4 linked regions of the Drosophila melanogaster genome follow. The gene in region 1 interacts genetically with each later gene. Each region holds a gene or a part of one and is shown in the gene's direction. Other genes may lie near its edges. The genes, in order: grim, Dark, Dronc and pnut.

Evidence for each region.
Region 2: of grim (region 1) and Dark, changing one suppresses a phenotype caused by changing the other (phenotypic suppression), as found in Drosophila melanogaster (2 studies listed by BioGRID).
Region 3: of grim (region 1) and Dronc, changing one suppresses a phenotype caused by changing the other (phenotypic suppression), as found in Drosophila melanogaster (4 studies listed by BioGRID).
Region 4: of grim (region 1) and pnut, changing one suppresses a phenotype caused by changing the other (phenotypic suppression), as found in Drosophila melanogaster (one study listed by BioGRID).

Annotation. Positions count from the first base shown.
Region 1 is NT_037436.4:18,301,768-18,306,294, reverse strand, and holds grim (grim), read left to right. Parts: upstream 1-1,877; 5' UTR 1,878-2,195; coding exon 2,196-2,612; 3' UTR 2,613-3,576; downstream 3,577-4,527. UniProt on the Drosophila melanogaster protein: Activator of apoptosis, independent of rpr and hid, that acts on the effector Dredd.
Region 2 is NT_033778.4:17,017,636-17,026,137, forward strand, and holds the start of Dark (Death-associated APAF1-related killer), read left to right. Parts: upstream 1-2,391; 5' UTR 2,392-2,606; intron 2,607-3,754; 5' UTR 3,755-3,765; coding exon 3,766-4,155; intron 4,156-4,276; coding exon 4,277-4,914; intron 4,915-4,967; coding exon 4,968-5,091; intron 5,092-5,154; coding exon 5,155-5,345; intron 5,346-5,449; coding exon 5,450-5,694; coding exon of another isoform or gene 5,695-5,702; exon of another isoform or gene 5,703-5,753; coding exon 5,754-5,943; intron 5,944-6,016; exon of another isoform or gene 6,017-6,062; coding exon 6,063-7,656; intron 7,657-7,717; exon of another isoform or gene 7,718-7,723; coding exon 7,724-7,843; exon of another isoform or gene 7,844-7,898; coding exon 7,899-8,045; exon of another isoform or gene 8,046-8,109; coding exon 8,110-8,502. Other genes in the region: Paip1 (Poly(A) binding protein interacting protein 1), read right to left, coding at 1-164, 428-1,273.
Region 3 is NT_037436.4:9,966,779-9,972,040, forward strand, and holds Dronc (death regulator Nedd2-like caspase), read left to right. Parts: upstream 1-1,700; 5' UTR 1,701-2,109; coding exon 2,110-2,556; intron 2,557-3,065; coding exon 3,066-3,971; 3' UTR 3,972-4,224; downstream 4,225-5,262. Other genes in the region: CG6685 (uncharacterized protein), read right to left, coding at 694-843, 909-1,002, 1,056-1,263, 1,327-1,516; CG6674 (uncharacterized protein), read right to left, coding at 4,432-4,824, 4,886-5,194. UniProt on the Drosophila melanogaster protein: Involved in the activation cascade of caspases responsible for apoptosis execution. Effector of steroid-mediated apoptosis during insect metamorphosis. Overexpression promotes programmed cell death.
Region 4 is NT_033778.4:8,235,242-8,241,152, forward strand, and holds pnut (peanut), read left to right. Parts: upstream 1-2,029; 5' UTR 2,030-2,815; coding exon 2,816-4,435; 3' UTR 4,436-5,056; downstream 5,057-5,911. UniProt on the Drosophila melanogaster protein: Involved in cytokinesis and possibly cellularization. Also acts as an enhancer of the sina gene, thus having a role in photoreceptor development. May be involved in p53-dependent apoptosis.

The DNA of each region.
Region 1 (4,527 bases):
TTTAAAAATATTTCACCTCATTTTCCGCACACCATTTATAAGCAAAGTTACCCCCAACCCATAACTTTTATGGTAAGTAATACAGACCCTCCAAGTTCGGCAAATCGATACCCAGCGACCTTGAGCTTGACATTTATATATATGCCAGAATATAACGACCACGTGCTGTCAACTGTGTCAGGAAAAGCTCACCCACACTTTCTTTGGAGGAGCTGTGCTCCCTAAACGAATTTCATTGTCAAGGTCGCACGCACAAAAATGAAGAGGAAAAGCTGAATGTGGGTGGAAATGCCGGCCGGCACGACCTTGAAGCCAGTTGGGTGAGAAATAAAAAGCTTTTGCCGGTAGGAGACTTGTGGAACATCACCCACAAGTGGCGGACTTGGCCTTGGCGATGGCCTTGTTGGAGCTCCCTCAGCAAAAATGTTACATAGGGGGAGGAAATAAGCTCAATTGGCTTTATGCTTTCCGCTCCCTGGAAGTCCTTTTCTGGAATGTTAAAGTGTTAAATGACATTTATTGAACATTTGGGACAGAGGAGGAGATAATACAATATACTTGTCTAATTAAAAAAAATCGTTATTATGATTTATTCCATATGTAAGATTTTAATTCATCATGATTGTAAATAAATTATATAAAACAAATTCAATAAATTTACATTATTGATAAAATTTATTTTTTCATGAAATTATACCCAAAAATTATTCTCAATTTTTCTTATAATCAGTTTTGCATAAGTATACTTTCTTCATACCCCTCTACCACAGCCACTGCTTTCTTGACTTTGCAACTATCCGGGAACAGCTTATCATAATGGATGAGCTGCAGCTAACGGAAAATGGGGGAGCTGGGATCAAACATTTTCCAAGGTTGAAATTGTCGTCAGCATAATGTTTGAGGGAGCTGGATTCGCGTTAGCTTGAAGGTCAATCCATTTGGGTGCCCTTTGTTATGGTCAAGTTTAAGGCTGCAATAGGGGGAATCTTCAAGGACCATTACGCAAGGTTTTCGCATCAAAGATTTGCCGTGCAAGCTTTTTGAGTTGAAGGATGCTTAACTTGAAAGCGGGTTAGTGGTTCCAAGAGATTTTAGGTGAAGGAGACTCCGCTGTTTTGAAATATATTAAGTATGTAAAGAAGTATACTATAAATAACCCAAAGTGATACAATGTAAGAAAAGATCTCGTTGGTCCCTGGTATAAATTTGTTTGCCATTAATGAATATTGAAAATAATAATTATACTAATAATAGGTACAATAAGCAAGATTAAATTGCATTTAATCACCAAAAATCAGTTTCTATGCGAACCAAAATGTCATAACAAACAATTGTTGATTCATCCGTAGTGAAATCCAAGTTCGAAATTCGAAATGAGCATACGACGACCAAACTTCCCCTCAAAATTGCTAGACTCAGCTAGAGCAAGTACGCCCAAGTTAACCCCTGAAATTCGAAATGAATTCGATGCCGCGCTTCGAACAACGAAATCCCAAAGAGCTTACGTTTTATTTGACGTAGCACTCTTACGTGAAATGATTTTCCCCAATTCCGCTCTCATTTCCCGAGTCTCTCACCGCTTCTCAGCCACTTTCCCACCCCCTTTCTAGTTCCGAAGTAAAGGTAACAAAGGCAGCCGTGTCTTTGGGGTGGTAAACTGGCGGTGGTGGTGGCACATTGTCAGTGGTGTGGGTTCCTGTGGTTGGTGGTTCAATTGGTTGGTTGTTGGCATAAACAAAGCACACACACAATACACACAAACTCCCGGGGGGTGGTGGAAATTGGGAGGGTGACATTCACTGCGAGAGAGGAACTCGCTTCCTATAGGAAAGTACAAAGAGAGCTATTTTATAAATGTGACTGCAGCAAGGATATTTACAGTCAGTCCACTCTGAAACCTCGACGAGAGAACATTGAATAACAAGCGGAAGCGAAAAGCGCAGTTGAAAGTTCGTCAAAAAGCGACAAGTTTCCTCGTTCGTTTTCCCGCCAAATGAGTCAGAAAAATTTTCCAAGTGCTCGATACGAAACATAAAGACTTACAAGACTTAAAGTGCAAGCAGTGAATGGAATATATTATTCCTCAGCGATATTGAAATCAAACATTAAAAATATATGCTACACTAAAGTTATATATTTTTTTAAAGATTCATACGTTTTGTAAAATCACATTTTGTATTAAATTAAATACCGCCATGGCCATCGCCTATTTCATACCCGACCAGGCCCAATTGTTGGCCAGAAGCTATCAGCAAAACGGCCAGCAGACAGCAGCGAGTCCAAGGACAACTGCAACAGCTGCTGCACCATCGCAGCAGCAGCAACAATCGCAACAACAGCAGCAGCAGCAGCGACATCATCATCAGCAACAGCGCCCACAATTCCGTGCCAATATTTCCGTGCCGCTGGGAAGTCAACAGGGATCGATGACCATGTCGGAGTTTGGATGCTGGGATCTTTTGGCCCAGATCTTCTGCTACGCTCTGCGAATCTACAGCTACAGTTCGAGCCAGCGTCAACCGACGGTCATTCAGATATCCTTCGAGATCAGCAGCGGCGGTCAGAACAACGATGAGGACGACGTGACTGATGCCACCTCCAAGGAGAACTAAATTTGGTTTCCATATTTCATCCTGGTGGAGAGAAAATCTTTGGGATTTTCTGGGAAAGGCAGGCTCAATCAAAGCGCATTGTGATTTCTTTTTTGGGTATGGACACATGAGGAGGAACGAGTTTTGTAAAACATGGGATATTTCCACAACAAAATAAGAAAACTATTTTTAAACTATTTTTGAGAGAGAGAAAATTCAAAATTTGTCATCGACTTGCTTAAAGTGATTTTGGTTGTTTGTTACTTTTTTGGATGTCAAATTTTCCGATATAAGTTTTGAAAAAATGTTTAATTTTGCAAGCAAAGGTTTCCCGGTTGGTTCAAATACATAAACATACTTAACAACATTTAGAGAGCATAAAGAGAAATGTGTAAAATTGTCATAAACCTTATTAGTGTCTATACGTATGAGCAAAACCACAAGTATCGTACTCAACTAACAAATAATTGTCAAATTTTCTACTTCAACTACTTCAACTACATTTCAACTACTTACAAATATAAATCGTAAACTAATATTACAGAACTACAATACAGAACCAACAACAAAACAAAGATGCAACCGCAGCAACAAGAATAACAAAAGACAACAACTCAATTGTACAAAATAGATTTTAAGCAAACAGCAAATTTTATATGTTTACAACAAAGAGAGAAAATACAAAACGTCTACAAAAAATAGAATACAAGAACCGCCGAACAGAATACATTTTAACAAAAATTAAACAAAACAACAACAAACATTTAAGCAATTTTGATACGAATAATCAAGAATAACAAAATTTGAAATGTATCTTATCATTATTATTGATTTTAGCAAAATTCAAAACATATTATTTTAATTTTGGCATTGCAAATTAAACAAGAAATATTGAAATTAATCACATGTAAAGATAGCATTTGTAAGAAATTAAAATTTTTATAAGACAAACAAGCAAAAAATAAATACAATTTTATAAAAAATTAAAAAATACTTTGAACGATTATTATTGTCCCTTTTCAGAAAAACATAAAGAATTTTACCAACACCATTGCCGAGATATATATATTTAATTACCTTTTATTTCGGAGGTGTAGAACTCTATTAAAATGTTTTTGAAAAATTATTCGAAGCGTTTTTAAAATATTTTAAAAATAAACTAAAACGTTTTTAAAATAAATTCAAAAGAATATTTATTTGTTTCACCAAAGTTTTTATAAAAAAATACGTCAAAATAATATGAAATTTTGTTTAATACACTCTTTTAATAACCGCTTATGAATTAAGCCTTTGTATTCCATTTTGGGCAATGAAATGGCAAAGGATAACCGTCCTGCCAGGAAAAGGCGGAGTAAGCAAACATTTAGCGATCGCTATCGTCAAAACCAATATGTCACCTTAAAAGGGAAAACACATTTTTGGTTAAGGGCAGACAGAGAATTTTCCCGTCGTGTCATGCCAGGCACACTCCACCCAAAAGGGTTAAAAAGCAAAGGTGACGCTTAACCGCAGATCCCAGTTTGTGCCACCAATGTCCAAGTCATCGGGCTCGGGGTCAAAGGGAAAAAGAGGAAAAGGGCAAAGGGGGTGTACCCTTTAGCAAGCCCGGAAACCCATTTAACCCCAGAAGTGGAAAAAGTGTAACATCTGTGGCAGCAAGCGATCAGCGGCGCCTGATAAGTTCGCCAGTCAAATAATAATTATGCAAACATTTCGGGCCGCTAATTTGCCGCCTATCTTAATTTAAATCGCTCAAAAGCGCACTGGAACCAGCGCACAAGAAATTGTTTAATTGTCGTGACATGACAATAAGCGACCTGGAAATTAGGGTCCTTCGCTATCCTTTTTTTTCGCGTGTGGCTTGATTTTTGGCGATGATAAGCAAGGGGGAAATTATAGGGTATGCAAATGCTCGCATAGTGTCAGTCGCGTGTCC
Region 2 (8,502 bases), on another chromosome or scaffold:
TGCAGCAGGTTGTACAGCTTGGCGCCCATGTACCGGAAGTTCGGCTGCTCGATCGACTTCTCGAAGATGTCCTCCATGGCGATGGAGAGCACGAATTGGTTGTTCTCCATGCCATCGAAAATGGTCAGGAAGCGTGATGCAATCGAATCAAATTGGCCCGGATTCTGGATGGAGATCATTAATATGTCTGGTTAGTAGGAAATTTAGGTTTAAAACTTAAGATTAAGTTTGACTAGACTGAAATGTTTCAGCTGATTTTTTTTTTTACTTTCGAGCATAAATATATTGATTTTAAATATATTGTTATATTTAAAGAAAATATTAAGCTGACACCTATTAAAATTGATTAAATAATCATAAAACACTAAAAATATAAATCAAAGGAAGCCCATAATTGCCCTGATAGCTTATCAATCGAAATTCTCACCTGGTTAAGGCAATGTATGACTGTATCAAGATACTCCAGTGCTATGGTGGCCATGTCCGGCTGCGAAGAGTTCGAGGACGACGAGGAGGCCGCCGCAGTCGAAGTGGATGGCTGCGGTTGTTGATTCTGGTTCTGAATATACTGCTGCTGCTGTTGGTTGTGCTGCTGGTGGTGCGGCTGCTGCGGCTGGTTGTGCTGTGTTTGCTGTACGATTTGTTGGAATGAGTTATTCAAGTGGAAGTGCCGTTGAAACTTGGCGTGTTGGTTGTGTGGCTGATGCTGCTGCTGGTGTTGTTGGTGGTGGTGTGTGTTTTGGTGTACCTGCTGCTGCTGATAGTAGTTGCCGGCTGAGCCCTGCTGGCTATTCAGGTGCAGGCGATTCTGCACGGAATTCGTTAGCTTCTGCATATCGTTGTTGAACTTCTGCTGATGATTGTGATGATGGTTGTAGTGCGGCTGCTGGTGGTGCTGCTGATGGTGATGCTTAAAACCATTCACATAGCGCGGCTGCTGTTGGCCATAAGGAGCTCCTCCACCGGCTCCACCAGCCTGCTGGTATTGCTGATGTCGCGACTGCTGCTGCGGGGGAGCAGCTCCTCGAGGGATGAAAATTGTGGCCGTGGCCGACAGATTGGACGCATCGGACAGAGTCTGCGCCTGGGGTTGCATGGCCTGCACAGGAAAATTGCCAACCACCTGACCGTACGCCTGCGCTCCGGCGTACTCCCCAAAGAGATGCGCCTGCTGATCCAGTCCCGGCATGGCCACTCCGCCTGCTCCGCCGACATTCGGCCGGCGCAGCTGCTCATACTGATCGTCGGGCTGGAAGGGGGCGCGGCATGACATTGCGTTGGACTCGAAAACTGCAAATCACCAATCAGAGTAAAGTAATGGATGAGGATTAGTTTATCTAAATAAAGACAAATCACATTCGCCAGGGCATTCCCCAGCGTGGTTACGTTTGCAAGCCTCGGGACGCCGATTCAGACAGAGTTGCGGACATTTTGTTTTCCTACCACTGGTTTGTCGCCTTTCTTTTTTTATCTCTTTATTTTCCGCAGCCGGGTCAGTCGGTGTTTCCCATTGAAATGGACACGACCTATCCGACTCTACCGTGTGGTGGTGGGGAAATTGCAATGCCTACCTTAAATTTGTTCAAGTTGAATGTGTACGTCGCCGATTTTCGTTTTTGTTGCTTCGTTTTGCTGCGTCGTCACTTTCTCGTCTGCGTCTCTGATGCGCTGCTCCGAATTTCGTGTCTGATTTTGGGTGGGATTGCACGTTTTACTGGCCGTAAAAAATGTTAAATTGGACGGTGCGGGGGCGGGACGGCCGGTGACCGCTGAAAGGGAATGTAAAATGCTACGCACCTTTAATTTACACTGCGGCAATTTGTTAAAATTTATTATTTCGCCTTTTCACCGTCGGTGTGGTCGCAAGTGGCTAGTGAAAACTTACCTGGCAGTGAATACCTTTGTTGTCTGTGATATATCGATACGGCTCAATATGGTCACACTTTAAATAAAGTAATAAGTGCTAAACCGTTTTTTAGAAAATAAGCATTAGATAAACTACTTCATTTCGTACAAGAAAATCATGGTATTATTATAATCTTAGATCTAGTTGGAAAAGAGATATATATTTGGCATATATATATAAGGTGGCATATATATAACAAATTAATAACTAATAACAAATAATATATATTAAAATATAATAAGAAATTCTTAATATATAAATAAGAATTTATTATTATATATTATTTGTTGTCGGTTCAAAAATTAATTTAATCGTAATGTAAATTGTATTTCTTATTAAGAATATACAAATTCTCAATATCTTAAATCACGCAATATAATATCGAATTACAATTCAGATTACGATTAAAATCATTTTTGAACCACTTGACAACCCTATATATAATTCGATATTATTTCCCTCGCGTAAAACGGTCACACAGTCGAATAAATTCCGTTTTGTTATTTTTTGAGTACTACTCAATGAGTAGCATAGATTAGTACATTATTTATATTTTTTCAAGCCTTTAGTGTTTCGCTTAGAATGTGCTAGAACAATGTGAACAAGCCGGAGCAACTATATATTAAGGATAAAGTGCAATACTTACACATACAACAAAATACGAATAAGGACGACGATTTGTTAAAAATAAACGGCGAGCGTAAGTAAATATGCGTGCAGGTGAAAGCTTATGTACCTGTAGTGCTTTCGTTTTCTGTGCTCTACAAGTCCATTTGTTTAATTCTTCCATTGGGCCTTGTGCCTCCCCGTCAATCACAAATCCAAGGCACTGTGTGTGTGACTGAAACAATTGCATGCGAGAGCACTTACACACAAACATAACAAGTTCATTCACACGGCAAACTCAGTGACGTATCTTCTCTCTGCCTTTACGCGCTTATCTAACTGGTGATTAATAATTCGATCCGATTTTGGTTCTACGACATTGACGAGCGGAGGAGAACAAAAATGCAACCGGAATTGCCTTTTTCGATGGTTGCACCGCCAGCTCACGTATTCCTAGCTATTTAGAGGCGATCTCGTTCGCGTCCTTGTCGATTAGTTGTGAAATTACCGATGATCCAGTCGATCTCAGCTTGCAGATAAGGGATCTCATAGATCCATGGTATCGCATTTCTCTCCTCGAGAAGCCGTCTACGGTGCATTCAAATAAAGTGGGCCAAGCTTGGCGCCAAAAATTCCGCCATATGTATGTACACATATACATGCATACATATGTGCATTTGAAATGAACATTTTTTTGTTTTGATTTGTTTTTTTCGATTTTCTTGATTCTGTTCGCTAAGAGTTGCACCTGAGTTTTTATTGGTTGGTCCAACCAAATTTATGATTTGTGTGATTGCCCGACCAAGGAGAAGACAGGGATTCGGATTTGATTCAGCTTTATTATTAGAACACTCGATCTGGTTGCGTTAGTGTGAACGTGGAGAGCTTAGGAACAATAAAAGCTAGAAGGTTGATATTAAGAATACAGATTCTAGAGATACAGACGCAGCCCAAGTTTATTCACCCATGTTGCCACGCCTACCCTAACGCCCACAAACTGCTCAAAACTGTCACGGCCACACTTTTGAACCGTTTTAATTTTTATTTCTATTTATTTTGTTTTCGAATTTCTATGAGATAAAAATTTCCAGCAGAGTAACGGGTATCTAATAGCCGGAAAACTCGACTATAACATTTTCTTTTGTAATTAATGAAAATACCACAAAAAATAACCCAATGCCAATAAATTATTTCTAACATAGCTATAAAATTTAGTTACTATATAAATATTTACATATGTAGGTAACACGAATATGGATTTTGAAACTGGGGAGCACCAATACCAATACAAGGACATTTTGTCCGTGTTTGAGGATGCATTCGTCGACAACTTCGACTGCAAGGATGTCCAGGATATGCCGAAATCAATATTGTCCAAGGAGGAAATTGACCACATCATCATGTCTAAGGATGCAGTCAGCGGCACACTTCGCTTGTTTTGGACACTGCTCTCTAAACAGGAGGAAATGGTCCAGAAATTTGTGGAGGAAGTTCTCAGGATCAACTACAAATTCTTAATGTCGCCAATCAAGACTGAGCAACGGCAGCCCAGCATGATGACCAGGATGTACATCGAGCAGAGAGATCGTCTGTACAACGACAACCAAGTATTCGCCAAGTACAATGTGAGCCGCCTGCAACCGGTATGATAATCTCCCATTCGAAAAAAAAAACAATCAAAGAAGTCCAACGTACGAAACCGAAAAACAATTTTACTCTGTGGAATTGTTATCTAACCATACTACAATACTTTTTATATTTCAGTATCTGAAGCTAAGGCAGGCTCTTCTAGAACTTCGCCCAGCGAAAAATGTATTGATTGATGGCGTCTTGGGATCGGGAAAGACTTGGGTAGCCTTGGATGTGTGCCTATCGTACAAAGTGCAATGCAAGATGGACTTTAAGATCTTCTGGCTTAACTTGAAGAACTGCAATAGCCCGGAGACCGTGCTAGAGATGCTGCAGAAATTACTTTACCAGATCGATCCCAACTGGACAAGTCGTAGCGATCATAGCAGTAACATAAAGCTTCGAATCCACAGCATTCAGGCGGAACTGCGACGACTGCTCAAGAGCAAGCCATACGAGAATTGTCTCCTTGTTCTGCTTAATGTGCAAAATGCCAAGGCTTGGAATGCTTTCAACTTGAGCTGCAAGATATTGCTAACCACACGGTTCAAGCAGGTCACTGACTTTCTTTCGGCAGCTACCACAACTCATATTTCATTGGATCATCATTCGATGACGCTTACGCCGGATGAGGTTAAGTCTTTGCTTCTAAAGTACCTCGACTGTCGACCACAGGATTTGCCCCGGGAAGTTTTGACAACGAATCCCCGCAGACTAAGCATTATTGCTGAGAGCATTCGGGATGGTCTGGCGACCTGGGACAACTGGAAACAGTATGTGGATTATGAGTGTTCACACTGAATAAATACATAATTTTTTTTTGTAGTGTAAACTGTGATAAGCTGACGACCATCATTGAGAGCTCTCTAAACGTTCTGGAGCCCGCTGAATATAGAAAAATGTTTGATAGACTGTCAGTTTTCCCTCCATCAGCCCACATACCCACTATTGTAAGTGAGCACTGCACTTTACGGCATACATCTACTAATCGTTATCAACTTCCTGTTGAACAGCTCCTATCGTTGATATGGTTTGATGTTATCAAATCCGATGTAATGGTAGTGGTTAACAAACTTCATAAATATTCATTGGTGGAGAAGCAACCAAAAGAGTCAACCATAAGTATACCCAGCATATACTTGGAGTTGAAAGTCAAGCTTGAAAACGAATATGCACTTCATCGGAGTATCGTAGATCACTATAAGTATGTTCCTAGCCCTTTTCTTGATATCTTGAATTTTTGCTAAAATGTATTAACCTTAAGCCACGAGTAAGCCGTATACTGAGTGATTTTAACCTTTTTGTTAGTATCCCAAAAACATTCGATTCCGACGACTTGATACCGCCTTACCTGGACCAATACTTCTATAGCCACATCGGTCATCATCTAAAAAACATTGAGCACCCCGAACGGATGACTCTCTTTCGCATGGTCTTTTTAGATTTCCGTTTTCTAGAACAAAAGATTCGGCACGATTCAACTGCTTGGAATGCCAGTGGATCGATCTTGAACACGCTACAGCAGCTGAAGTTCTACAAGCCATATATTTGCGGTACGTAAATTTCTGAATCATTTGAAACAAAAAAAAAATGTAATCTTTTTTTCATGCAGACAATGACCCAAAGTATGAGCGCTTAGTCAACGCTATTCTGGATTTTTTGCCAAAGATTGAGGAAAATCTTATTTGTTCAAAGTATACGGACCTGCTTAGGATTGCCCTGATGGCCGAGGATGAGGCGATTTTTGAAGAAGCCCATAAACAAGTGCAGCGCTTTGACGATCGGGTTTGGTTTACTAACCAGTAAGTACTTACCAGCTATTGACTAATCAAACAAACAGAGCTGTCATTTTTAGTAATAATGAAATGTATATATATTAAAGTTACTTTATTATTATTATTTCACTTTTTCCTTTTATCAGCGGTCGTTTCCACCAGCACCGTCAGATTATAAACCTGGGTGATAATGAGGGGCGCCATGCTGTCTACCTTCACAACGACTTTTGCTTGATAGCGCTGGCCAGCGGGCAGATCCTGCTAACCGATGTTTCGCTGGAGGGAGAGGACACCTATTTGCTAAGGGACGAGAGCGACAGCAGTGACATTCTGCGTATGGCGGTATTTAACCAACAGAAGCACTTGATCACCTTGCACTGCAACGGCAGCGTAAAACTTTGGTCCCTGTGGCCCGATTGTCCAGGAAGGCGCCACAGTGGTGGTAGCAAGCAGCAGCTAGTCAATAGCGTGGTTAAACGCTTTATAGGGAGCTATGCAAATCTGAAAATTGTTGCTTTCTATTTAAATGAAGACGCCGGATTGCCAGAGGCCAACATCCAACTGCATGTGGCATTCATCAATGGTGATGTGAGTATTTTGAATTGGGACGAACAAGATCAGGAGTTCAAACTGTCGCACGTGCCTGTTTTGAAAACGATGCAGTCGGGAATACGGTGTTTCGTTCAGGTTTTAAAGCGATATTACGTGGTCTGCACCTCAAATTGCACACTTACTGTATGGGATTTGACCAACGGTTCCAGCAATACGCTGGAACTACATGTTTTTAATGTCGAAAACGACACGCCGTTGGCCTTAGATGTATTTGACGAAAGGAGTAAGACCGCCACCGTGTTGCTGATTTTTAAGTACAGCGTATGGCGGCTCAATTTTTTGCCAGGTCTTTCGGTTAGTTTGCAATCGGAGGCAGTGCAACTGCCAGAAGGAAGTTTCATCACCTGCGGAAAGCGTTCGACTGACGGACGTTACCTACTGCTGGGCACGTCCGAGGGACTTATTGTGTATGATCTGAAAATCTCTGATCCCGTGCTACGCAGCAATGTCAGCGAACATATAGAGTGTGTGGATATATACGAGCTGTTTGATCCTGTCTATAAGTACATTGTTTTGTGCGGCGCTAAGGGAAAACAGGTGGTCCATGTGCACACATTGCGCTCTGTAAGCGGCTCGAATTCACATCAAAACAGGGAAATCGCCTGGGTTCACAGTGCAGATGAGATAAGCGTGATGACAAAGGCTTGCTTGGAGCCTAATGTCTATCTGCGTTCTCTGATGGACATGACCAGAGAGCGGACGCAACTTCTGGCTGTGGACTCCAAGGAGCGCATTCACCTAATTAAACCGGCCATTTCTAGAATTTCCGAATGGTCCACAATCACACCCACTCATGCTGCCAGTAACTGTAAGATAAATGCCATATCCGCCTTTAACGACGAACAGATTTTCGTTGGCTATGTGGACGGAGTGATAATAGATGTTATTCATGATACAGCGCTACCTCAGCAGTTTATAGAGGAGCCCATTGATTACCTCAAACAGGTCAGTCCCAACATTCTGGTGGCGTCGGCACACAGTGCCCAGAAGACTGTGATATTCCAGCTGGAAAAGATAGATCCGCTGCAACCCAATGACCAGTGGCCATTGATGATGGATGTTAGTACCAAGTACGCGTCCTTGCAGGAAGGACAGTATATCATTTTGTTTTCCGACCACGGAGTCTGTGTGAGTGTTCTTAATTGAAGTTTATGCGAGTAAAAGTGCAGTATTTGATTTCAATATTTACCAACAGCATCTGGATATAGCTAACCCATCTGCATTCGTGAAACCAAAGGATTCGGAGGAATACATTGTCGGCTTTGATCTAAAGAACAGTCTTCTCTTTCTGGCCTACGAAAACAACATCATCGATGTGGGTTTGCTAAACATAATATCATTAAACAATTATCAATTATTTCCAACGACAGGTATTCCGTTTAATATTCAGCTGTAACCAACTAAGGTACGAACAGATTTGCGAAGAAGAGATCGCCCAGAAGGCCAAGATCAGCTATTTGGTAGCCACGGATGATGGTACCATGTTGGCTATGGGTTTCGAAAATGGCACTTTAGAGGTATACATACGTCTTACAAATTCGTTTCATAATTATTTCCTGCTAATTATACATTTCCCAACAGCTCTTTGCCGTTGAAAACAGAAAAGTTCAACTGATCTACAGCATTGAAGAGGTCCACGAGCACTGCATCCGGCAATTGCTATTCTCGCCATGTAAGTTGCTCCTGATCAGCTGCGCGGAGCAGCTGTGCTTCTGGAATGTGACGCACATGCGCAACAATCAATTGGAGCGCGAGCAAAAACGGCGGCGCAGTCGACGCCATAAGCAGCACAGTGTTACACAAGAGGATGCTGTGGATGCGGCGCCCATTGCAGCGGACATCGATGTAGATGTGACATTCGTTGCCGACGAGTTTCATCCGGTGAACCGAGGGACTGCGGAACTGTGGCGGAATAAGCGCGGCAATGCCATCCGTCCGGAACTCCTGGCCTGCGTTAAATTTGTGGGAAATGAA
Region 3 (5,262 bases), 8.3 Mb from region 1:
TTTTAGTGCTAGTAACTGCGCCTAAAACAAAAGGGTATTATATTTGTATTCGAATTTGTATGTAATTCTGATCGTATGTACGTTATGTTATCGTAAGTGTACCATCCTAGATCCTCTAATGAATTGAATTGAAATGAAGCCAACTCTGTCTCTTGTGATTCTATTGTGATGCTATGGGAGTCAAGCAGCACTCAACTGTTTTTATGCCTCTTAAAGTTTAAAACAAAGCTAATCGTAGCAAAACCTAAAACTAAACTACCTATCTCTACACTAGTCTATGCAATGCTAATTGGCAGCCCCAACAATTGAAAACAATCATGCACAATAAATGTTATGCAATTGAGAGAATCCAAAGGCCAAAGACCCACAACTTTTTCTTACACTACTCGAAGTAATTGTGTACAACTAAAGGAATTCTAGATTTTAAATGTGCTAAAACTGTTTATAGTCAAGTACTTAATTAAGAGTGTAATTATCAAATATTAATACGTACAAAGGTTGGGGCATTTGGCATAGTAATACTAATAATGTATAAACGTGGGATCCGATGATTTGATTGATGATAATGGAGCGGTGCAAATGCGTGTGACAATGTACGTATGTAACAAACAATTGAATTTAAATGTTTAATAAATGTGTGGAAATGAATAAATGCTCTGTGTGCTAAATTCCTCAATTACTCAATAACAGCCTCTACGTTAGCTTCTCGTCCAGGAATAGTGGATCCAAACTGCACTTTTGCCGCTGTTCCATGTAATCCAAAAACTGGTGGTCAAATAAACGCTGCCCCATGCTGCGTGCCACATCGTCGGATTCGTCGGTGTTTGCCTTCTCTATGAGCAGCTGTTGGCATTAGGATTTCCTTTTTTTTTAACTATTTTGGAAAGTTGATGCAGCCTTCTGCTCACCTCAATTTCCTTGGACAAAAATTCTTTGGTCGCATCGCTCATCTTCTTTTGCGGCTGGCCCATCAAAGCGTTTTCCAGAAACTTGTAGGCCTCACTGAAAGTACCACAATGCTAAATACAAATGTAGTTTATCAAAACCATTCCTACTTCAAGTCAATGCCGTTCAGTTCCGTTGGCGATGGCTTTGTCTCATTTTGGATTATGGAGTTCACAACGACGGCTGCTTCGAATTCGCAGAGTTCAGCGAGTTGCGAACTTTTCATGAGCTCCAGCCACTGGTTAATGTTGTTTAAGCTAACGGAGTCGCAGTTTTTCACCATTTCCTCGCCCTTGCCAATCATGTCGGCCACATACTCTAGAAAAGGGATTGGGGGACAATGTACTTTTATTGCATTATGCATGTTTTAAGAAAACTCACGGAGAATGCCATTCGAATTATTTTGATTTTGCTGCTTGGCTGCTTCGAGCAGGATTTGCTGTGAGTAGCCCAGTCTGTTTAGTTGCCTTTGCAGCTTAACTTTCACCTCTCTCGGAATCCTTGCAGGCTTTTCTGCGCCTTTTTGCGCGGAGTTTTTCGGTTCCGGCGTAAATTGTTGCTCCTCCTCCATTTCTTTTGTTTATGTTTACGGTTTGTTAGGCTGACCCCATATGGTATTTGGTATTTAGTATTAAATTGAATCATTTGATGCGGCAATGAAGGAATGGTGGAATAAGTGGAACATGGAGACGGTTCATGTCATGGATTTATCCCGGACGCGTTCTCTGGTTAAAATGGCGCACCCACAAGCAGCCACACCAATCCCAAAGTTTCATTTATTAGTTTAGTGGCGAGTTTGGCGGCGCGAAACGCTCGTTGGTCCTTTTGTTTCGAAAGAAATCCTATTCGAAGATCCCCGATCCTTGCTAGGATCATCTAGTGCAATATATAGACTAGTTAATTTACTTTTGGAAAAATAAGGACACCAGCAGGGCCGCCGATTTGTGCCCCTTTCTTGAAAGTCGCAAAACAAAAACAACGACGACAACAACAAAGCGGAGACAAAGAATCGACAAGTAGCGATAAACGAAATCATTCCCGGGAAAACCTTGGAGACGGGTGATTCACTGCCAATACCACTGCCAATTGGAGACTGATCACGGCAGCCATCCTTGGCGCGCCCAATAAGCGGAGTCACCGGAACGCGTGGAAGCCATATCCGGAATGCAGCCGCCGGAGCTCGAGATTGGAATGCCGAAGAGGCATCGCGAGCATATACGCAAGAATCTGAATATACTGGTTGAATGGACGAACTACGAGCGTCTGGCCATGGAGTGCGTGCAACAGGGCATCCTAACCGTTCAGATGCTAAGAAATACGCAGGATCTCAATGGCAAGCCATTCAACATGGACGAGAAGGATGTGCGTGTGGAGCAGCATCGTAGGCTCCTATTGAAGATCACCCAGCGTGGTCCCACCGCCTATAACCTGCTGATCAATGCACTGCGCAATATCAATTGTCTGGATGCGGCCGTTCTATTGGAATCCGTCGATGAGTCCGATTCAAGGCCACCCTTTATCTCGCTAAACGAACGGAGAACCAGCCGGAAGTCGGCCGATATTGTGGACACACCCTCACCCGAAGCCTCCGAAGGACCCTGCGTTAGCAAGGTAATGAAAATAAAATCATACGAAAGCTTTGATGGTGAAATTGCAGCTCAGGTCATTGACCCTGATTTCTACAAAAAACCGGTTTATGGCACAATTTATTTGCATTTTTTTTTTTAGGTTTGTTAATTGAGTTATTCCTATTGGAATGAGATTAGAAAAGGTATCTTTAAGAATTGTAAATGGACTCAATGATGAATACTACTTTGGTACATGTGCACAGTATTATTTGCTTCTCTTTCAGAAGTTAGTTCGTGTATGAGATTCTTGTTTTCCATTTTTTTTGGAAGCATGAATCACATCCATTCTACTTACCTATCCCAATTATTCTTTTAGTAGGATTTGTTTTTAACCAGAATCTTATCGCAATATTGCTGGCAGCTGTGTTTATATAGCACGAATGTTGATTACTTCTTTGTCTGCCACATTAACCGTGCAATGAAAATATAATATATATATTGAAAATCTTATCTTTATTGTAATTTGTTCTTTCTTTCTCTCTCCTACCAAAGCTCCGGAATGAGCCGCTGGGAGCACTCACCCCTTATGTGGGTGTCGTTGACGGTCCCGAGGTAAAAAAATCGAAAAAGATACATGGTGGGGATAGTGCCATATTGGGCACATATAAGATGCAATCACGTTTCAACCGAGGCGTTTTGCTAATGGTTAACATAATGGACTATCCGGATCAAAACCGTCGACGGATCGGAGCCGAAAAGGACAGCAAGTCGTTGATACACTTGTTTCAAGAACTGAATTTTACGATTTTCCCCTATGGGAACGTGAATCAGGATCAGTTCTTTAAACTTCTGACAATGGTGACCTCCTCGTCGTATGTGCAGAATACCGAGTGTTTCGTAATGGTACTGATGACACACGGCAACAGTGTGGAGGGAAAAGAGAAGGTGGAGTTTTGCGATGGATCTGTGGTCGATATGCAGAAGATCAAGGACCATTTCCAGACGGCCAAATGTCCTTATTTGGTGAACAAGCCGAAGGTGCTTATGTTTCCCTTTTGCCGCGGCGATGAATATGATTTGGGCCATCCAAAGAATCAAGGCAATCTCATGGAGCCAGTGTATACGGCGCAAGAGGAGAAGTGGCCTGACACCCAGACGGAGGGCATACCCAGCCCGAGCACCAATGTGCCAAGTCTTGCCGACACTCTGGTCTGCTATGCTAATACGCCGGGCTATGTTACCCACCGCGATCTCGACACGGGCAGCTGGTACATCCAGAAGTTTTGCCAAGTGATGGCCGATCATGCCCACGACACAGACCTTGAGGATATCCTAAAGAAGACGAGCGAAGCCGTGGGTAATAAGCGCACCAAGAAGGGTTCCATGCAGACAGGTGCCTATGATAATCTTGGCTTTAATAAGAAACTCTACTTCAATCCCGGGTTTTTCAACGAATAGTTGCCGCCACTGGACATTTTATCATTCCGGATGCATTTTTAACCGCATTTATGTTCTTATCGTCGCATTTAGTATGTCTTTTAGATTATGTGTTCTGTGCTCGCGTGCTATAAAATGTTTATATTGTAACAAATACTCATTCAAGTATTCTTCTAATACGTATTGCATACCTCATTTAAAGGTACGAAATTATGTAATTTATGTGATAACTGCCAGAAATCTACAAATATTATAATACAGAGTTCCAGTATATACACAGCCAGATTTTTGAAATCGAACATTTAGGCAAAATGTAAAGCAATTTTCCAGTCTGATTTTTGAGTGTGTACACTTACAAAATAAACGATGATATTTCACAACAAACCGCAGTTTGTATATAATTAAAATCTATTTACATTTCTAAAATTTCATTGGGACACTAATTATTATATAATATAATCTTAGGATCATACATTTTAACCTAATCATCCTGCTCATCCTCCTCCGCCAAGTGGGACAGTTGTAGTTTTCCCGCTGCACGGCTCTGTTCCGATTTGGTTTTGCATTTCTTTGGCTTATGCGGCTTTTGGCCAATTACATACTCAGGCATCACCAGCTTGGAACCTCTTAACTGCGGCTTATCCAGCTCCACATCATCCACCTCCTGCTGTTTGAGGCTCTTGAGCTTGCGGCTGAGTTTGCTGGTCCTCTTGAACTCGATCTTGCCATCTGTAGGTGGAGATTCGTTATCGACGCCCTCAGCCTCGCGCTGTGCATCCATTTGTCGCAGGAAGGACAAGGCGGCGGCGGAGTTGCTCTGTTCGGAAATGTCCACATCAGACAGGGAGTACTTCTTCCATTTGTGCGGGTTTACCTAGAGAGTAGGTCAAACGTTTAGGGTGGGGACAACTAATTGCAGAGGGATGGTCTGTCACCTGGTAATCTGGCGTTTTTCTTGGCTTCAAACAGCGTCCAATGGGGAGTTCGGGCTTCTTGAAAATGCTCTCCTTGCCGCGCATTCGTCGCAGTCTTCCATCCTCCGCATCGAGGCCAGTAACAATGCTGCGACCCTGGCGGTAGTTCATCACCTGTCCGGATTCGTTTCCGGATTTGTTTCCTCGATCGAGGGCATTGATGGAAAACGCCTTGGCCTTGCTCTGATCCAAGGCAGTTCCCCGCAACTCTTTGCTCGCATCGTCGAGACATGCGAAAAGAGCGTCTCGTTTGGCTGAAAATTCCTGCATTTTACTTAGTTAAACTGCACAAATGGCATTTGCTTAAATGCGTTGTGTTTGCAGAGGTAACTTTGTTT
Region 4 (5,911 bases), on another chromosome or scaffold:
AAAACTTTTGTCCTTATGAGAAAATTAAGGTTTGTTGACAAACGGAAAAGCCAGACATATTGGAATGTTATTGGGTATAGGGAGCTGATATTTCTTTTTAGAGCTTCAATTACAATTTTCATGTTATTGTCAGAAGTTTTTTTTAAATCTAATGGAACGTTTTAAGCTGATATCTATTCCATATGCTATTGGACTTCAGGAACACTTTCACATTTATTGGGCGTACCCTAAATAACTAGCACACATGATGGGCTGGGTCGAATCCATATCATTGATTCCATTGATTGGTGACCCATGCCAGCTGATGTAACGGTCACTTGGTGGATCAGCTGCTCCTAAGCCAACATTTGCACTAAACTGTCCTTGCTCTCGTGCCAAGAATTGGCACAGCTGCCGACTCCATTCTCCCGGCTGCATCCCCCGCCACTTCTTCGAGCCACGAGAACAATGGACTTGGCCCGGACAATGGTCGGCGCTAAGAAATAGTGACTTTTCAGGGGCGCACGGGTTTTCCTCTGGCTTCTAGCGGGCCCTAATTGCTGGCAAGCATCTTACATAATATTGAAGAAGATGCGTCTCCGAATGGATTTCGTATGGAGTGTGCCTGATGCGAAACAGCTGCTCAAGATCTCAAAACTATGAACACGAGGAAGGGTTGCGGGGAGATTAGGTGGGATTTGTTCGCTGTAAAGATTTGCGGTTGCAGTTGCGGTGGCACATTTCAAGACCTAACATCTGTCGTAAAAAACATCTAGTTTCGAAGCCCCCAGCCAAAAATGAAATGTATTTAGCATTGATGAATACGATAATAGAAAATCAACTTTTTAGTGCTATAAAAAAGTAGTGCTATAAAAAAGTACGAAAGTACATACGCGTATGTTTTTAATCGTTAAAGATGCACCCAAAAAAGCAATATAAAATTAGTTTAAGGAAGCTAAAGTAAATATACATATAAATAGACTTAATGAATAAAATCGACTTTCTCCTTATATTTTGGGTTAATCAAATGGTTTCGGATGGTCATAAATGTTAAATGTATTAATAAAGCTTAAAATAAAGTTTGATAAAGAATGAAAAAGAATTCATTAAATAACTTTTTAGAACAAAAAATATGTATTGAGATCATAAAATGCAATCGACAATCAAATTAGTAAGAATAACAAGAAACAAGGGGATCTCTAGCCACAAAATTCCACAGAACTTCCCTCGATTTACCTTTTCCCTTGACGACAACAACTGTAAATCCTCCAATAAGTACAGTCATCCCCTAGGGTAAAAATCGAGCCACCGCGAGTCATATCAATTCATAAATGCATATTAATTCCGATAGAGGCTAAAATTAAAACAGGAGTCGCTTTGGAATAATGTGAGAAAAAAACTTTCTCACGATCACCTTGTTGTCGCGCAGACGGCGTTTGGTGGAAATCCACGTGCAAAAGGGGGAAGTTCGGAAGCAAGGAAGGCTGGATGGTAGGAAGGAAGGAAACCACCACCACCAAGCAGGCGGAGTAGGACGCAGGACCCTCTTAATGGTGGTGGTTAGTACCTCCCTCTCCCCCTCCCCCTCTACCAGTGACGATCGCCAGAAGTGCATGAGAATTTAAATTACAAACAAACCGAAACGCAGAGCGCACAATCAACGGGCTTTGTCCGTGTGCGTGTATGCATCGGCATGCGATGACGCGTAGAGGGTGGGGTAGAGAGGGTGCCAGGACGAGGCGTGTGTGGGAACTTTCGACGAGGACACTCGAGCATGAAGCGGGTCAAACGACAGAGGCCAGTTATTATCCAGCTCCTTTTTATGGCACTTCTCACACGCCCACAAGGGGCGTTAGTTAGCTCACTAACCTCTTTCCAAACAGAGTCGAATGGAATTATAGCAAGTGTGAGAGAGAAGCGAAAGTCGAGTTCTCAGCGTCACAATAACAACACCCACGCGACAGAAGCATCTTTAGTTCTCAGCGAGAGAGATAAGCTCAGCTTCCTCTTCTTCTTTCTCTGCTCCTTCTGCTGCTCTCACGGGCATGCGCAACATTGCAACAAAAATTAAAGGGAACCCGTAACCACAAAAGTCATGGGCGTAGTGAACAATTTTATTTAAAAACCCGTTATGGTGTACCATAGAAATTAATTCCCTATAAAAATGGACAAACATAAACTGAAAATGTTTTAAAATAAATATAGTTCGATATGTAGTCAAAAAACCCCTCAGTAATCCACCCCTGCTTAAGGCAAAAGTCAAAGTCATCTAGACGGATAATTTCTTCCTGTGCATCAGCGGGCGATTGTAATGCGATCCGTGGCCACTCCAGTGCAGTCATTCAGGCCAGAAATCTGGAATCCCAAGTGCTGGGACACATGAATGCGTTTCATTGCCTATTTTTAAACATAACATTCCATTTCAAGTGATAAGGCCACCAGAAAATAGTTCTCTTTGCCCGTTTGCATGTGCATTGCTGCGGCAGTATGGGTGCGTGTATCTCTGTGTGTATGTGTCGCATTACTCATGCGCTCTCACTCCAAGCGTCGTTTGGTATATTCGCGGCTCTCGTCCGGTATTTTCCAGGGTCACACTGCGCCTGAGCTGGGGCGTTGTTGTTGCCTGCGAGAGCGGAGCAGAAGTATTTATCGCGTTGCAGCGCACGGTCCTACTGACACAGAAAATGCAAGAAAAGTAAGAGCGTAAAAGAGCTGGCGTAGGCGTGACAAAAGCGGTGAAAAAGCAACGGTTCTGTGCAAGCAAAGTGAATAAATACAGTGAAGCCCACCTGCGAACGAATATCGAAGGCTCAAAGGCGAATTTGGCGCTATTCCAATGAATAGTCCTCGCTCGAACGCGGTTAATGGCGGCAGCGGCGGCGCCATCTCCGCTCTGCCCAGCACTCTGGCCCAACTGGCTCTGCGCGACAAGCAGCAGGCTGCGTCGGCATCGGCGTCCTCTGCCACGAACGGCAGCAGCGGCAGCGAGTCCTTGGTGGGCGTCGGTGGACGACCGCCCAATCAGCCGCCCAGTGTGCCAGTGGCCGCCAGTGGCAAGCTGGACACCAGCGGCGGAGGCGCCTCCAACGGCGACTCGAACAAACTGACCCACGATCTGCAGGAGAAGGAGCACCAGCAGGCGCAGAAGCCACAGAAGCCACCGCTCCCGGTGCGCCAGAAGCCCATGGAGATCGCCGGCTATGTGGGCTTCGCCAACCTGCCCAATCAGGTCTATCGCAAGGCCGTCAAGCGGGGATTCGAGTTCACTCTGATGGTGGTGGGCGCCAGTGGGCTGGGCAAGTCGACGCTGATCAACTCCATGTTCCTGTCGGACATCTACAACGCGGAACAGTATCCGGGCCCCTCGCTGCGCAAAAAGAAGACCGTGGCCGTGGAGGCCACCAAAGTAATGCTCAAGGAGAACGGCGTCAATCTGACACTCACGGTGGTGGACACACCCGGATTCGGTGATGCCGTTGACAACAGCAACTGCTGGGTGCCCATACTGGAGTACGTGGATAGCAAGTACGAGGAGTACCTGACAGCCGAGTCGCGGGTGTACCGAAAAACCATTTCGGACAGCCGGGTGCACTGCTGCCTCTACTTCATAGCGCCATCGGGACACGGACTCCTGCCGCTGGACATTGCCTGCATGCAGAGCCTGTCGGACAAGGTAAATCTGGTGCCGGTGATCGCCAAGGCGGACACCATGACGCCCGACGAGGTGCATCTATTTAAGAAGCAGATCCTTAACGAGATCGCCCAGCACAAGATCAAGATCTACGACTTCCCCGCCACGCTGGAGGATGCGGCCGAGGAGGCCAAAACCACGCAGAATTTGCGCAGCCGAGTGCCATTCGCGGTGGTGGGTGCCAACACCATCATCGAGCAGGACGGAAAGAAGGTCCGGGGTAGGCGTTATCCCTGGGGCCTGGTGGAGGTGGAGAACCTGACGCATTGCGACTTTATAGCGCTGCGCAACATGGTCATACGCACGCACCTTCAGGACCTCAAGGACGTGACGAACAACGTCCACTACGAGAACTACCGCTGCCGGAAGCTATCCGAGCTGGGATTGGTGGACGGCAAGGCCAGGCTGTCCAACAAGAACCCACTCACCCAGATGGAGGAGGAAAAGCGGGAGCACGAGCAGAAGATGAAGAAGATGGAGGCCGAGATGGAGCAGGTGTTTGACATGAAGGTCAAGGAGAAGATGCAGAAGCTCAGGGACTCGGAGCTGGAGCTGGCGCGGCGCCACGAGGAGCGCAAGAAGGCGCTGGAGCTGCAGATCCGGGAGCTGGAGGAGAAGAGACGCGAGTTCGAGCGCGAGAAGAAGGAGTGGGAGGATGTCAACCACGTGACGCTCGAGGAGCTCAAGCGACGCAGCCTGGGGGCCAACAGCAGCACGGACAATGTGGATGGCAAGAAGGAGAAGAAAAAGAAGGGTCTGTTCTAAGTCAACACGCTCAAAACCCCCATTCCCCAAACCCCCTTCCGCTCCTCGTATACTTAAGCGCTAATCTCGAGAACAAAGCAAATGAAAACCCTAGCGTATCCTACTCTTATTCCTACCACATAAAGTAATTCGAAAAGTGCATAAATATATCTATTGTTGGGCCCAGCCGCCCCACAAGGCTTCTATTCGCACAGCAATCGTCCAGCGACGGCGTTGCATTTGTTTTCTACATACTATACAAGTACATATAACACATAGCAGTTGCAGTATTTTACCAATATATATCCACGCATTACTTGACGAAACACATTTGCTAGCCTAATGAATTGAACACGCAAACGAATTAAATCGAGACAGTAACAAACGGTATTTGCAAAATACTTAAGTATCTTAAAGCCTAATCATAATAAAAACTAAGCAGAATGTACGAGTGCGAGGCGAAATTGATCCTAAAATTAATTATAACGAATAACGAATCCATGTATAACGTATGCTATTGATATTGTAATTGTATTTTACCTATTATGCATAAAGTCATTGAACACCCGAACACACACCAGCAAGGCAAAAGCCGCAAGCGCAGCAGAAAACATCAAGAAACAAAATATACTCTTGCATTTTATAAAATAAAGTCTTCTCCTTAGTTTAACTACATAAAAGCTGAAAAGCATTCCATATTAAATTCGTTGTTTACTCAACTGCAGCGGAACGGGTCCGCTTGGCACACGTCTGGGTATGATAGGCATGACGATGGATATGGCGATTTGGATATGACGATTACATTCTCAATATCTTAGTTAACCATGAGCTAATGGATGAGTCATTCCGCAGGAGCATTGACTGGGAACGTGGCTCGAGTCAAGCGGATAGGTAAATCACTCGCCGCAAACAATTAAAAGTGTTTACCTCTCACACTGCTATGTATGTATGTATGTATGTGTGATGCTTATTGGACCAGTGAAAACTAACGCGAACCGTTGGTGCCACCTAAAAGTATCATGCTTTTCGTTTCCTAAGAAATACCCTTTATGCAGTTCTTGCCCATATGTGCGACTCAAGCAATTACGAAAAGCCTGACACTCCCTATAAGTCAGTACATGTACATATACAATCTTTCGCCTTATGCGGCCACAATTTAGGTCAGAATAATAGATATTCATCGCAGTTGGTAGCAATGAGCTTTATTTTGCAAAAATCAAGATAATATCAGATAAGATAAGCTGACTTGCGTGATGTACATATGTATGTACATAAATATTGGATCAGTTTAGTCATATCGCAATACCATTTCTTCTAGGAAGTACATGATCTCGTTTGTCTGATAGCTAACCAGATGTTATCAAGACTAACTACTAGTTTCTTGGCCGATATTGTTTCCACATGAAATTACTGCATTTTTGCTGGTTCTCCCCACTTGAAATTGCTTTCTAAATGCCCCAGACACCAGCTTTATTGAGAGACATGTGTGCATGGATA